Lonchura striata: one gene and its partner. The protein of the gene in region 1 interacts with the protein of each later gene in a pairwise test. Links are inferred from orthologs where the notes say so. Each region holds a gene or a part of one and is shown on either strand. Other genes may lie near its edges.

Region 1 (7,794 bases):
CCAGCAAAACTCCATGGTAAATAATTGCATCTCAGCAGAACTCCCCATAGATTTACAATTATTACCAGACACATCAGACTTAATTTTCAGGCTGCAGACTTTGTAGCCTAAGCATCTACGGACACTGTCCAAACCACAGCAGCATGGGGTACAGTATCAACAGGCAGTTCCTGCCAGCACTGTATGGCCACATCTACTGTTACAGATACTATAAAGAATATCTTAGATCTCTATTTCAGATATAACCTTACATCATACACCACCCAACCCATAAAATGCCTCACCTGTGCCCAAGAGAAGGGCTGACTTCACCACACAATCTTTCCATACCTTCACCACAAACTCATGCTCATAATGGATTCTGACAATGGTATTTGTGCTGGTTTTTGCTGGGGTAGAATTAAGGTTTCTTCCACAGTAGCTGTGCTTTGGATCTGTGCTGGAAGCAGTGCTGGTAGCACAGGGATGTTTTGGGCATTGCTGAGCAGAGCTCACACAGAGCCAAGGCCTCCTCTGCCTCACACAACCCACCAGTGAGGAGCTGGGAGGGGACACAGCCAGGACAGCTGACCCCAAGGGATATCCCAAGGGATATCCCAACCATGTGGGGCCATGCTCAGCACACAGAGCTGGGGGGAGGAGAAGAACATTCCAGGGACATTCAGAGCCCTGGGGTTTTGTCTTCCCATGTCACCTTTGCATGGGATGGGCCCCTGCTCTCCTGATGAACACCTGCCCAGCCATGGGAAGTGGGGAATGAAATAGGAATAGTCAGATCCATCAGGCCAATGCATGGCTCCGAGGTTGGTCTCAGTGGAAAAATGTGGGGGTTTTTGACCATGGGAAGATCTCCTCAGCAGCTGTACTACTCTGCCACCTGACTGGGTACATCAATCAGAGCAGAAAAGGTGCTCTAGCACAGGAGCTAGCAAGCTCATTGACAGAGCTTTAAACCAGCTTGGAAGAGGGAAAGAGACATAACCAGGCTCACCAGTGCCGAGGGATGGGACGCTGCGCCACAAGGAGGAAACGAGCACTTACAGATCCCTCAATCTGCTTCACAAAGTTTGCCTACAAAGTACCACACCTAAAATGTTCCTACACTAATGCACACAGCACCAGGAACAAACAAGAGCAGCTCCAGGCTTTGGCCCAGTCCCAGAGCTTGACATCATTGTATAAGTGAAACCTGGTGTGATGAGTCTTGTGCCAGGAATTCCCTGTTGGATGGTTACACACTCTACAGGTGGGAGAGGCAGAGCAGAAGAGACAGAGGGGTGGCACTGTATGGAATAGAAGGGTTAGAATGCATGGAGCTCCCAGCTGGCAAGGGCACAGTTGAGAGCCTCTGGATAAAATCAAGAGGCAAACAAGTAACACAGATGTCATCGTGGGAGTCTGCCACAGACCTCCTATGCAGGACAATGACACTGACAAACTTTTCTTTGAGCATCTTTGATGCTTTCAAATCAACTGCTTGCGTCCTTATGGGAGACTTATACTTCCAGAAATTAACTGGTACAACCTGGGCCAGAGAATTCCTAAAAATTCCAGATGACAGCTTCATGGAACAGGTCCTAAGGGAGCCGACTCAGAAAGATCCCCTCACTGACCTGCTGCTTGTCAACAGAGAGGATCTTGTGAGCAAAGTGGGGACTGGGGCTGTCATGGCCATAGTGACCATGAAGTGATTGAGTTTAAAATCTCTGTTGACAGGAGGAAAAGTGCCAGCAGAACTTCAACCCTAGGCATGAGGAGAGCAGATTGCAGGCTGCTCAGGGAGTTAGTCAGCAAGGTCCCCTGGGAATGTATTTTTGCAGATGCTGGGATCAGCCAGTGCTGGTTGCTTTTTAAACACCTCCTAAGTGCACAGGAGCAGCAACTCCCAAATGTTGGAAACTAGGCTGGTGAGGAAGAAGGCCAGATTGGCTGAACAGAAATCATCTCTTGGAAATAAGGCAAGAAAGGAAAGTGTATGGCCAGTGGAAGCAAGGCCAGGAGACATGGGAAGAATACAGATATGTTGCTTGCAGCTGTAGGGATAAAATTCATGAGGCCAAAGCTCAGCTAGAGTTGAAGCTGACAGAACTGTAGGGAACAATAAAAAGGAGTTTTTTCAAATGTAATAATGGCAGGAGGAAGTGTAGAAATAACATCAGCCCGTTCCAGGATGAAGATGGTCACCTCATGAACAGGGACATGGACAAGGCAGAGCTGTTTAACACATTCATTGCCTCTGCCTTCAACATGGATGACAGACCGAGGGGGTCTCAGTGCCTCAAGCTAGAGGACCATGACTGAAAAAATTATCAATTCTCAGCTGACCCTGAAACTGTGCAGGATCTCCTGCTCCAGTTGAATCCCTACAAATCCATGGGGCCTGATGGGCCCCATCCAAGATTCCACAAAGAACTGATGATGTCATTGCAAAACCTCTCTCTATGATTTATGAGCCGTGTTGGGAATCCCAGGTAACTAGAAGCTGGAAAATGTTGTCCCAGTTTTCAAGAAGGGCAAGAAAGAGGATCCTGGAAATTAAACCTGTCAGTGTCACTTCAGTGCCTGGCAGTGTTATGGAGAAGATTATTCTGGGAGGCATTGAAAAACACCTGAAAAAAATGCAGTCATTGGTCACAGCCAGCACAGCCTCATGAGAGAGGAGTCCTGCTTATCAAATCTGGCTTCCTTGTAGGACAAAGCAGCCCACCAAGTTGATCAAGGGAAGCCTGTTGATGTAATCTTTCTGGATTTCAGTAAATCTGAATCTGAACTTTTGATACTGTCTCTCCCAAGATCCTTCTGGACAAAAGGCACATCCCACAAACACATTATGGGATGAGTGAACAACTGGCTCACGGGTCTGGTGCAAAGGGTGACGGTGAATGGGGCAGACATCAGACTGGTGACCTGTCATTAGCAGGGTTCCACATGGCTCCATCCTAAGGCCTGTGTTCTTCAACATCTTCATAAATGACTTGGACACAGGACTGGAAGGGACACTGAGCAAGTTTACAGATGATACAAAACTGGGAGGGGCTGCTGACCCTGTTGAAGGCAGGGAGACCTTGCAGAGAGACCTCAACAGATCAGAGGACTGAGCAATCATCAACCACACGAAGTTCAACAGGGGAAAGGGCTGGATTCTACACCTGGAACAGGGCAACCATCTTTCCTCTCTGGTGACCAGTGACAGGACTTGGGCTAAAGGCCTGAAGCTGTGGCAGGGGAGGATTAGGCTGGATTTTAGAAAAAGGTTCTTGACTCAGAGGGAAGATGGGCACTGGAACAGGATCCCCAGGGAAGTGGTCAGAGCCCCAAGCCTGACGGACCTCAAGAAGTGTTTGGACAATTCTCTCAGGCACATGACTCTTGGGGATGGTCCTGACCAGGATCAGGAGTTGGACTTGATGATCTTTATGGGTCCCTTCCAACTCAGCTTATTCTGTGATTCTATGTGAAATCTGTGCTTTTATTTGCTTGTGTGCACAACTTTTGTTTCATTTATTAAACTGCCTTTATCTGAGTCCATAAGTTCCCTCACTTTAACTCTTCCAATTCTCTCCACCATCCTGCCAGGGGTTGGGAGTGAGCAGCTGTGTAAGGATTTGTTACCAGCTGGGGTTAAACCATGATAATATTTTACAAAGAGAGGGAAAAAACATAAAAGTATCTGTAATGCATCAGGAAATTTTACGTGAAAGAATTGCCTTTGCCTCTGACTTTTCATACTGTTGCAACTCATAAAATAACTTTCTGAAGAACTACATTCCACAGATGAACTCCTTTTCTAGCACAGGTGCTCACTTGATAATATTTTGAGAGACCTGGGAGAAGGTTAAGAAGCCAGCTCTTACATCATTAGCTATGAGAAGGCTTATATATCAATTCCCCATCATAAATACATAATATTTTAGTAATCTAAAAAATCAGAATTGTGGCAAGCATTTTTAATAAAATATCAACAATCAAGCAGCATGATGAACTGTTTAAAATTACAGACCAATTTTTGTTGCTGGAGTGTAGGAAGAGTAGCAATGAAAATCTCATCTCTGTGTTACACAGATGTGGTAGGTTTTGGCCAAGTCAAGGTTTTAAGCAATGAAATTCTATATAGTAACAGGGTTTCTCTGTGTAGTGGTTCAAGTGCATTGAAGTTGTTCCACCTATGTTTCTTTCTCAGTTTTATTTACAGCTTAGTTTCAATTACCTCTTTTAATTGCTTTTCCTCCAACAGTTCATTTCTGTGCATTCAATAACAAATGTAGAAGTTCTAGGTTTTTGAGGATTCTGTAGTTACAGGTCATCCTGAAGGATTTCTGCACTGTTTCACTGTGTTTATTAAACCGAACACTCCATCAAAGTCAGGAATATTTTACTATTTAAATAATACATTTTCCCAAGTTTGCCTTTAGGGTTGCAAAACTGACGTTACCATCTGATGGGTTTCCCTGTGACCGAAACCTTCAGGTTCTGATGGAAACTTAATGAAAGAGCGAAAAATAGTAATTTGAAAAGGCTGAAATGCAAAGCAGCTGCCAAGAGTGATACAATGCCGCTCCAGAGGCTCTTGGATGAATCAGCAAAACCCACATATGCATCTATAGGGGCCACTGCATGAGCGAGGAGAAGGCATCGGGTGCCCATAGGTGCTGCGGGAGCAGCGGATTCCCTGTCCAATGAGGTGGAATGCTCCGCGGGCACATGGTTTACGCTGCTCAAAATAACTCGGGACCTGCAAACTGACAAATGCTATTGCTCCGGTGGTGACAGGTTGTCCAGCTCCTTACAGCCATCCTCACAATAACGAAGGTTAACTTCCCTCACTCCATGGACTCCTAGCTGTTTCTGTTCCTGAGGACTCGAAGAATCCCCTCGCTTCCTTACTTTAACCTCACACTTCTGGATAACTCTCAGCGCTACTCACTGCCAGGTTGGGCAGCAACATCTGGAGGAATTAAAAAAGGTAATCCCTCCGTTTCAGATTAGTCTACCTTTTGATTTTGCAGAGTGTAGCAGAAGGGTTTGACAAGCATGTATATTTGAATGCTAATTATAGCTGGTAAGGCATATACAGGGAACAAATATGTTTTTAAACTGACTTAGATTATGCTGAGGTATGTGCATTGCAGTGAAAGAGAAACGGTGTTCTGCGGCATTATAAAGGACCTGAATAGCATTGGTGGGGTTCTCAAAATCCCTTGGAGCCAGTCTGACTCCTCTAAAGAGTCAACAAGATTCTAATGACCTGAAAAGTTCCTTGCTGGGACTCTTTCCTCTTCCTGTTCATCTTTCCTTCATGAAATAATGGAGGAGTGAAATATATACATTATTGTATTCAGACTTAAAACCAACATGCCGTCATTTGGAAGTCCTTCTTAAGCAAAATCAAACCTAATTTAATGTGACCCCCATAGTTAAATGCTTTCTATTTATTTAATTATTTATCCTGTCATGTAAAATGACCCCCGTGGCTATATTTAGTGCAGGGAGATCTGCTCTCCGGATTAATGTACACAACAGCTGCAGAAACAGTCCTGCTAGAAGGGCATAGCTCTCACCCTTGAGCTCACTATCTCCTTTGCTCTCTTTCTCTCTCTCAGAAAAGTATTTGACTGTCAGTAGCAAATGTTTGGCTCAATATATTGCAACATTAAGCAGTAATCAGAAGCCCACGTTAAGTTACCAAATAATACATCAACAATTGACAAGAGAACAGAGTAGTTCCTGAGCATACATTAATAGAACATTATACAAATCATGCTAAAGACACTGATTACTTTATCAGCAGTTTTGTTTCGGTCATGAGGTTTCCATTTGTGAAGATGCTCTAGAGTTTAAGAGTGAAAACAAAATCAGCAAGCGTTAATGGAACAATTTCATAAACTTCAACTCTGCTCTTCTCCCTCTCCTACACCTCCTGAAGGTTCCTAAGGTCAGGATATTTCTTTGTTTTTGTGTGTCTTTAAGTTTGTGGTTTTTTTACTTTCAGAAATAGCTAACAAAATTTAACAGCAATAGAGTGGTAGTTCCTGTAGCTGAGCAGAATAATGTTTTACATATCAAAGAATATTTATAGTCAATTCAGGAGATATTAAAGGTCTTGGACATGGCAGAGTAACAAGCACAAAGGGGAACTGTGTGATCTGTGCTGGTTTTTATTTCTGTGCATTCTTCAGAGACTTTGCAGCAGGTCTTGCTGTGATACGAAAGGAATTTTTTTTATCCAAAGCCAGTAACAATTAGTAGTCTAGGCATATTTGCACATAAACACAACATTAAGATAATTTGTCAAAAATGTACACAATACCATAAAGGTAATTGGGCAATGCAACCTCAATTGTAATCTAAACCACAGGATGAGGGGGGAAAGAAATAAGGATCAGTTTACTTTTCTGTTTAAAACATAAGTGGCTTAGTGCTTGTTTTCATAAACAGGAATATTGTACAGGAATGGGCAAATTATTCCTGTCGAATATAAGTCTCATTTAAACATTGCAAGTTTGAAAATATGATTAAAATATGAGGGCTTTTATGTTACAATGTTCTTAGGGAAGACCGTTGAAAAAAACATTAAAAAAAGACAGATGAGTGTATAAAAAGAAATACAGTGAGACCATGAAAAAAGAAAGGTCCAACTGAAAAATCTGAGGAGAAAAACACAATCCAGCCTTTTTTTGTGTCTAATTTAACACTTAAGTTCCCTTTTCCACTGGGAACCTGTATTTGTAGGAAAACTGAATCTCATTTTAAATCCAACCAGCCCACGGATTTGAAATTTCCAGACAAATGCCATGTGGTTTGCACAGCCCTGCTTTTTCAGCCTGCACTTGCTGAGTCTGGCTGCACAAGCTGGCAGTGCTGCAGTCACCAGCACTCGTGTGGGAGTCCCTGACACTGGTGCCCTCACACACAGGGGGAGAACAGAGACTTCTGCTCAGCACGTTGAGTTGTGCAAATTCTCATTACAGTGCCAATGCAGGGCTGTCATTTGTCAGTCCAGGCTCAGCTGTGCAGCACCTCTGAGCACTGAGAGCTCAGCTGTAGTTTCAGTCCCAAGCTGAAATCCTCAGCCACGTGCATGTGTGGATTTGTGCACTGCTCCCACACACTGCCAGCAGGACTCACAGAAATGGCTGAGTTTAGATCATTTGGCTCACAATCCATGGAAAAGGATTTGCAGTCTAGCAGAGTGGTGTGCGTGTGTTTGAACCAGGATAAATGAATATTGTTGCCTGTTAATTATATTTTCATTGAGGACTTCCATATGTACATTCAGCATCAAATTGTTGGATCTCTGCTGCAGCTGTTTTGGCCTTTCATATGAACTTTTTCTCATTTGGGCAATCCTTGAAGGAAAGAGGACTATATAAAATACTTGAATTGTCCTACATTGTGAGCACTTGAAGTTCCCTCATAACTTACCCGGATACTTGAGGCTTGGCTGCACAGGTCTTTGGGAGAGGAGGATGGAGAACCATCCCAGACAGGCCTCAAAGACAGCCATCACCTGCCTTTCTTTCCAAACTTTTAATTTAAAAATCAGATGAAAATGTATTTGTTTCAATGAGAAGTTGTTTCTTCAAGATATTGTTTGCTTTGCAGTTCAAGGAGATCCACTGAGGAGGAAAAAGGAACTTGAAACATGGGATAAAGAGTCTCAGTTCTCATTTTGAGAACTACTAAGGGACAATATTAATTATGGAATAAGGAAGACTTTCTGTGATAAGAGTGAAAAATCAAACGTCTTTTCATTATATGAGAGTACAAAGGAAATGTTGTAAAAGTTAGAGTTCT
Region 2 (7,490 bases), about 19 Mb from region 1:
CAAAGAGGATGACCAACATATGATATAATGTAATTGTAAATTTGCACCCTCACTGGTATTATTGGAATCAAAGGAGATATTTGTTAAACAGAGCTTGGATAAAAATCCAGTGATATCTTACTGCCAATGAAACTTCATGAAAGGGAAGAAATAGCTTTTCAGCAAATTTAATGTGAAGCAGATTTACACATTTACATTTTAATTGCAAACTGTTAAAAGCAAAAACAAAACCCAAACCAATAAACCCTCTCTTCCCAAAATTAAAAAAGAAAAGGGTTATTTTTCCAGGTAATAGTGATTTTAAAATTATTCTCAAGCTATTTATAACATTATAGTGGATATGACTCCAATAAATGAGAAAGAGAGAGGCTGCCTGAGTGCACATCTTATAAGAGAGTTGTGACACACTACTGTTTTGCTAAGAGATTACAAAATCAATGCTTTGTGAAAACATTCCTGTATTTTAAAGCAAAATCCATCCAATTCTTTATCACCTTGATTCCCTGAGCTCCTTTTTATTCACAAGGAGCAGGAATCTCCCTCAGGTAGAGCATCCACTTGGGCTGCATCCAAAGATATCATAGGCCAGCTTCAGTGCCAGGAAAGCAGAGAAGCTCCTTTTCATTTTTTTTTTAGCTCCCAAGATGTTTTGACCGGCTGAAAATTATGAAAGAGTTAACAACAGGCTGACTGACATGACTTAGTTCTGGGAAAACAGGGCGAAGAGCTAACCAAAGCTTTATCAAGACAGAATCAGACAAGTTACACGAAATGGATGCCAATCTGTAGGGCTAGGTGCAAAGAAAACCTTTTTTAAAAAGTGTCTTTTTGCAGAATTAAAGGTCTGTTTGAGAGTAGCATTCACGTTAATGCAGTTTACTTGGGTCTTGCCAAAGGCATTTCATTTTATTGCATATGTTGGTATGATTAAAAAGCATGCATTGTATGGAATTAAAAGGATGCACTTTGGAAGAACTAAAAGTTGGCTCACTGACAGATTGCAAAGTGGTGAGAGTAATGAGAGGAACTATTTCTAGCAGATTCCCACATGGATCAGTTCCTGGTTCAACATCGTTTAGTATTTTCATCACGTGTCCAAACAATGATGTAAAATCATAGTTAACTTATTCCCAAATCAGTTAACTTCTTGACAAAAGTATTGAAGAGAATATGTTAGACAAATAAAAGTGTTTCCTGCCTTTTATGAAAAAAAAACAGCTAAAAGAAAGATGAGAAAATAAATGCATTTCTTGCAATATGCAGTTACATACTGCTGTTTCATGTGGATATATAAAGTGTGCTGGGTGCACACACACACTGCAAAATAAACAAGCCATTGCACACTAACATATCACTAAACCAGGAGGAGTAACCTGTGGTTGCTGCTTCTGTGTACCTTGGTTAAGAATTTATCTTTGCACACATATGGAACAGTTTGCTGGCTCAATAACCTCTTAGGTGCATAAGCACTCCTCAGCAAGTGATTTTCTCATACCTTACTTACTTAGCAGCAGGGAAAGGACAACAGGCAGCCAGGCACAGTGGCATCCAAGGGCAGCACCTATGGGTGCATGGACAGAGCCAAGGGCAGAGTGCTGGAAAATGCAAGACAGATGAGCAGTGACACCACTGAACACACGACCGTGGCACACTTGACAGGAGGTGGCAATAACATTTTTATCATACATGATACTTTCACACTAGCATTAATCACTTAGAGAAATTAATGACAAACATTCTTTACTCTTGTCAGTTCAATTTTGGTAGCAGGGAACAGGGTGTGCCACAGTTCTCTGCCTGTCATGATGAGCCTACTGTCCTTTCGTGTTTTCTCTGTGGAGGAGTTTTGTGACAATATCCAGTTGCCTCACACCTTGCAGATGATTTCTCTGCCCTTATCCTTCAGTGGAGTGGCAAGAGTTTTTTAGATTCCTGTTACACATCACCCACTGACCATCTGCTATTACCACCTTAACGAGAAATCACTTGATGAAAGGTGATTGAGTGGTTACTGTCCAGTACAAGGTTACAAGCTCATTATACTACTTCCCCCTCCAATATGAAGCAATAGTGATAAGCCAAGAGTCTTAGCTGATACAAACTGGTGCATTTCTGCTATTTCAATCGTGTTGCCTTTGTTTACATGACATTTAGCTTAAAAGCAATTACTGTTAGGTTAATTTAGATCCCAGGCTTTGGTTAAAGTGGGTTTCTGGGTGCCACTATTTCAAAATAGAAAGTTTGGATAATCAAGGAATATTCTATTTTTTATTATTCTTTTAGTCATCATGGATGGGTTGCTTTAAAGATGAATAAACAGTGGTGTTTTGGCAGCACTTGTGAGAATTGGTTTCTGTTTCCCCTCAGAGCACTGAGGTTTCCTGTAAAGCTACTCTAGCTCTGGATTTATGTACCATTTGCAAAGGAAGATCTATCCCCTTAAAGCTTCCACATTAAGGAAGCTTCCACATTTGCTGAGTCAGTTTTATATCTCAGGCTGTTAAAAAAAAAAGAAAAAGAAGGCAAGCAAAAAAAGGGAAAAGTAAGCTTCAAAAAAATGAGTCCAGAGGAAGTTCACAGTTCCTTAAACAATTTCTGTTCTAAAAGCAAACCTCTACATTTTTTTTCTGCATCAGGTCTCTGCTGTCATCTGTTTTCACTAAACAGGAAGCATTCTATCCAGCCATCCTGTTAGAGTTGTGGATTTCAAGACAATCTCCCAAGTAAAAATCAGAGAACTGATCAGATTGAGGTAAACTGTTAGAACACAAGAAAATGCCAGAGCTGCCTCTTGTCACAGAGACATTTACCAGGAGTACAAAACTGCAGTGAAAAAAAGCCTGGCAGTGAGATTCAGAACATACCACTGGGGGGTAATGATAGCGTTGCTGTACTTAAGTTTAGAAAAAAATGTTCTGAAAGGTTGTGTTGCTAGCACATACTCTATTTTAGTTCTGGGACTCATTCTCTAATGTCATATATATTCTGAGTGGTAAAGGAACCACCTGATGTCCAGCTTCATTTCAGGGAAAGGGAGGGCATAGGTATGATGGGCACCAGAAGACAAGTTTGGATGTACTCGGATTACTGGGGGATAGTTCAGAGGAGAGACACCTTGAAAGGTCAGTGTCAGGAATGCAGCATGCTAATGATGCTGATGGTATAAACAACACCCGAGCTAGGTCTCCATTTGGTGAAGCACTTGTGTACATGTTGTGCTTGGAGCACCTGAGCTGCTGTATTCATTTCAGCCAGGTGACCTGCGTGCCTCACCGGACAGCACTTCCAGGCATTGCACTGTCGCAGAACCGATGTGTCTTGGCATTTACTCACACTCTTTGAATGCAAAGATTAGTGCCTCTTCCTCCTATAAAGCTGCTTTCTGCTGGTGATCATTCTCCTGATTCCAGACTGCTTTGATTCATAGCATAAGAAAAGCTTTCCCAAAGGATTCAATAGCCCTTTTCCCCCAAAACACACACATCATCTGCATATATCCGTCTGTATCTCATCTTATCCTAAAAAATAAACAATCACTTCTGGACGTCTATTCTCTCCATATCCAGAAGGAAAATATTGCCCGAGAAAACAGTATTACGTTTTCCCCCCTTCATCTTTTTTTTTCTTTGCATAAACATAATTCATTATTTGGCTTATAATAATTGACAAGGGTCCAAAAAAATGCAAATCTTACTGTTTTGATATCTTACACTGATTGTAGCTCATCATGTCATAGGCCCTTTTAGCACCAGAGACATCATTCTGGTATAGTAATCCCTTCAGAGAATTCCTTCCAACAAATATAGAAGACTGTCATCATGATGAGAAAAAGCCTTTCCCCTAAAAGTGTTTATCATCCAAGAATAAATAGCAATGAAAATAATGGCTTTTTGAGACTTCAGAGGTAATAGTCCATTTAGCAGGAAGATATTGCTATAAGCATTGTACATAAGCCATTTACCCTTTACAGTGTCTTACAGACATCTGAATGTCAATTAAAAAAAAAAAAAAGAAAGAAGAAGATGAAGTTATAATGCTGCATCAACACACAGCTGTCCTAGTGGGCACTGGGAGCACAGAATGTCTGGCATTGCTGAGCAGTGCAGTCATTGCCAAAGGAATGATGAGCTCACATTTCATTCTGATTCCCATACTGTGGTGGGGCTGTGGGGCTCTCCCCCTTCCTGGCCCAGCTGACGCCCCTCGCTGCCTCGACACCAGATCTGGCTCATTAACGTGTCTGGAATGAGCCTGAGCCACCTCTCAGCTGGCAAGCACAAGGGGCATACTCGGATTCCCAGGTTGGAAGATTATCTCATTCAAGCACAGTTCTCCCAAAGATATATAAGTGCAGTGAGCGTGGTGGTTCCTGCAGAGCTGGCCTGAGCCCTGGGAGGTTCCAGCCATACAGGAGCACAGCCTTCGATCACCAGCAAATATGACGATGATGATGAAAGTAGAAGAGCTGGTAGGTGCAACCTTCCTTCATTTACTCACAATTCATTATTTTCTAGACTGCCATTGGACCAGGCACAGAAAGAAGACCTTTGTGGATCACTGATTTAGCAAGTTAGACTGCTGTGGTCTAGGTGCAAACCCTCATATAATGTATATTATATTATATTATATTATATTATATTATATTATATTATATTATATTATATTATATTATATTATATTATATTATATTATATTATATTATATTATATTATATTATATTATAATTTTAAGTTTTCTTTGGGAAAGGGTCTCATCACAGATATAACTATACAGCTGTTTGGATTTGGCATCACAGCATAGTTTACCAGGCAAAGATCAACCAAAATGTAGCTATTTATTTGACTCTGTCCTTGGTTTTAATTCATATATATTTTTAGAAGCCAGTAATTTTATGATCTCACAAAGTAATTCCTATATAACAAGTGACTGGGACAACATAATAGTGCTTGGAAACTACAGTATTTTATAACACTAAATTAGCAGCTTAATAATAGTATTGTTTTCTAATAATAAACTAACCGTTCCTACAGCCACCTCTGTTCATGATGTAAAAGTCTTTGAAAAATTAGGTCTAGACCACAAATAATGGGACATTCCACTGCAGGATTCAGACTAAGAATGTCTGATCTGATGGAGAAACTGGGAAAATGGGAAAGATTCAGTAAAACACTGCACTTATTTTCCCAGATGGTTTGCTTAAGATACAGCTGCCTAAGTAATTAATGCTGTCTTAAAATCTTTGGCAAGGTTCTCACAGTTTCTTCTGCATTAGACTCTAAACAAATAAAATCAAACAGAAAGTCTAGGCCACATGAACCACTCTCAAAATACACATCTGCCTCTACTAAGTTTAACAAGTCATCTCTTCATACACACTTAATTGGCATCAGAAATATTTCTGAAAACTATTGAAAGCTGTGCTGCTGCACAGCACCACATAGCTTCTGCCATTCTGCTATGAGTGGGACTTTGGTACTGACAGCAATGGATAAAACCAGCCTTGAAATCCCTCAGCAACCCGATTTAAGTGCATGGGAGATATGTCCCAACCAGCTGCATCCCCAGCTAACCAAGCACAGGCAGAACGGCCTGTCCTGGCTGTCACACACTGAGAGAGGGCAGGAATGAGCTGCAATCAGCCGAGGCAATCCATGTTTCCAGGTGGTGGCTGCTGCAGTCAGGAATGCATGGATTATATTATATCATGTTTGCCTTTACAGGTGACTGGGAAGAAGGTGGATGATAAAGAGACTGGCAGCTTCCTCCCTGAGGACTTCAAAAACGGAGAGTACGAAGCTGCAGTAAGATTAGAGAAGCAGGAGGACCTAAAGACAATCCCTGAGCACTCACTGGCCCGAGGTGATCTGGCTTATGAGAAGGAGAGAAAACTCGATGCAGAGGTAGGCTCTTGGGTTTTCTGCTTGGATTTTTATCATCATGTATGCATTTCCTGCTGCAGTCCTTGAAGTTCTGCCACTCTCTAAGTTAGAAATACATGGTGAGCTAGAAAAACCCTTGGGAAACTACCATGAAAGAAGGCTGGTCTAAAGCCCACTGGAGACCACGGAGGTGTGCTCACCTCTGTAGCCTGTGGGTGCAGGCAGTAACACATTGAGGCAGAACCTAAACCACCCCATACTGCCTGCCTGAACCCCTGAGACCTCCTCTGCCCAGGCTCAGCTGCTGCTAGCTGTCAGTGCAGGGGGAGCAGTCAGAGCCAGGGAGACACCTTCAGCTTGCACACCTAATGACTGCTACCAAAAATCACTAACCCACAAAAGATGTAAGAGTGCATTTCTGAAGCCAGAAGCCTTAATTAACATGAAAATGTTCTTTTTATGAAAACAAGGCATTACATTTACTAGCACATTTGGGAAGAACAGCTACAAATGAAACTCATACTAGTCTACAGAAAAGTACTAATTTCAATTCCTGGAGCATGACAATTCTCCCTAGATCCTTAAGTACTGATGTTCTTTCCCCCCAATAACACATAACACAGTAGCTGTAATATCTTTTTTTTTTTAATGAATAAGCAATCAACTGGCCTAAAAATTTAAAGTGATTTGGAAATTATCAACTTTAAGTAGCAGGGGAAATAAGATTTTTTCTAAAACATGAAGAGGAAGAAAGTCAGTCTCAGAAACACTAGAATAAAAACTACTTCTTAAACTTCAACATAATTATTTTCTATTAGACCAATGACCTGCAGACCAAACCACACATGCAGAGAACAATAAAAAGAAAAGGTGGAAATAACTTGAGTAAGAATTCAGTTGACAAAACGATATACCATCTGACAGGGTGTCACCAGTGTATTCACCCTTAATCACACAATGGGACAGAATCTGTCATCTGTATTCACCCTGAGTTAACCCATTTGTGACTGTCCTGAAGCCAAGAACACCTAATGGCAGCTCAGTTCAGGCAACACACCTGCCCTTGGTGTCAGCAGTACCCCACACTGATTTCATGCCCAGATGCTTTTTATAAGCAGGTCTAGAGAAACCCTATCTGAAAAAAAAATTAAACTATTTATTTCTAAGTTCATCCAGTCTTAGTTGAATTCAGCTGAATAGTATCACATTGCTGTCCTGGCACTCTGAAAGGGAGAGGTGGTCACACAGCTCAACTTGCTGTTTTCCCTGATTTGTTCCAGCTGAAGAAGAAGAAATTAGAGGCCAGGTCAAAACTTGAAAATTTGGAGGATCTTGAAAAAATTATTGAGCTGAAGAAGAAGAAAAGATGCAAGAAAGTGAAAGTGCCTGTTTTAAAGAAACCTGAACCAGAAGTTATTGTAAGTTACTTCCAAGTAGCTTATTCTGGGAAAGTATTAATCAGGGTTTGTGCCACACACATTTATGTTCTCTATATTCTTTCCTTCAGACAGGACCCGTGGATATTCCCACATTCTTCAAAGCTGCACTGGAGAATAAGTTGCCAGTAATTGAAAAATACCTGTCAGACAAAGGGGATCCAAATGTCTGTGA

Evidence for each region.
Region 2: the proteins of MYPN (region 1) and ANKRD1 interact in a two-hybrid assay, tested with the Homo sapiens proteins (2 studies listed by BioGRID). The link is inferred for Lonchura striata from reciprocal best matches to the Homo sapiens genes MYPN and ANKRD1.

Annotation. Positions count from the first base shown.
Region 1 is NC_134609.1:35,268,737-35,276,530, reverse strand, and holds the start of MYPN (myopalladin), read left to right. Parts: upstream 1-4,732; 5' UTR 4,733-4,963; intron 4,964-7,794. UniProt on the Homo sapiens protein: Component of the sarcomere that tethers together nebulin (skeletal muscle) and nebulette (cardiac muscle) to alpha-actinin, at the Z lines.
Region 2 is NC_134609.1:16,243,611-16,251,100, reverse strand, and holds the start of ANKRD1 (ankyrin repeat domain-containing protein 1), read left to right. Parts: upstream 1-4,390; 5' UTR 4,391-4,438; coding exon 4,439-4,468; intron 4,469-5,720; coding exon 5,721-5,900; intron 5,901-7,159; coding exon 7,160-7,297; intron 7,298-7,386; coding exon 7,387-7,490. UniProt on the Homo sapiens protein: May play an important role in endothelial cell activation. May act as a nuclear transcription factor that negatively regulates the expression of cardiac genes. Induction seems to be correlated with apoptotic cell death in hepatoma cells.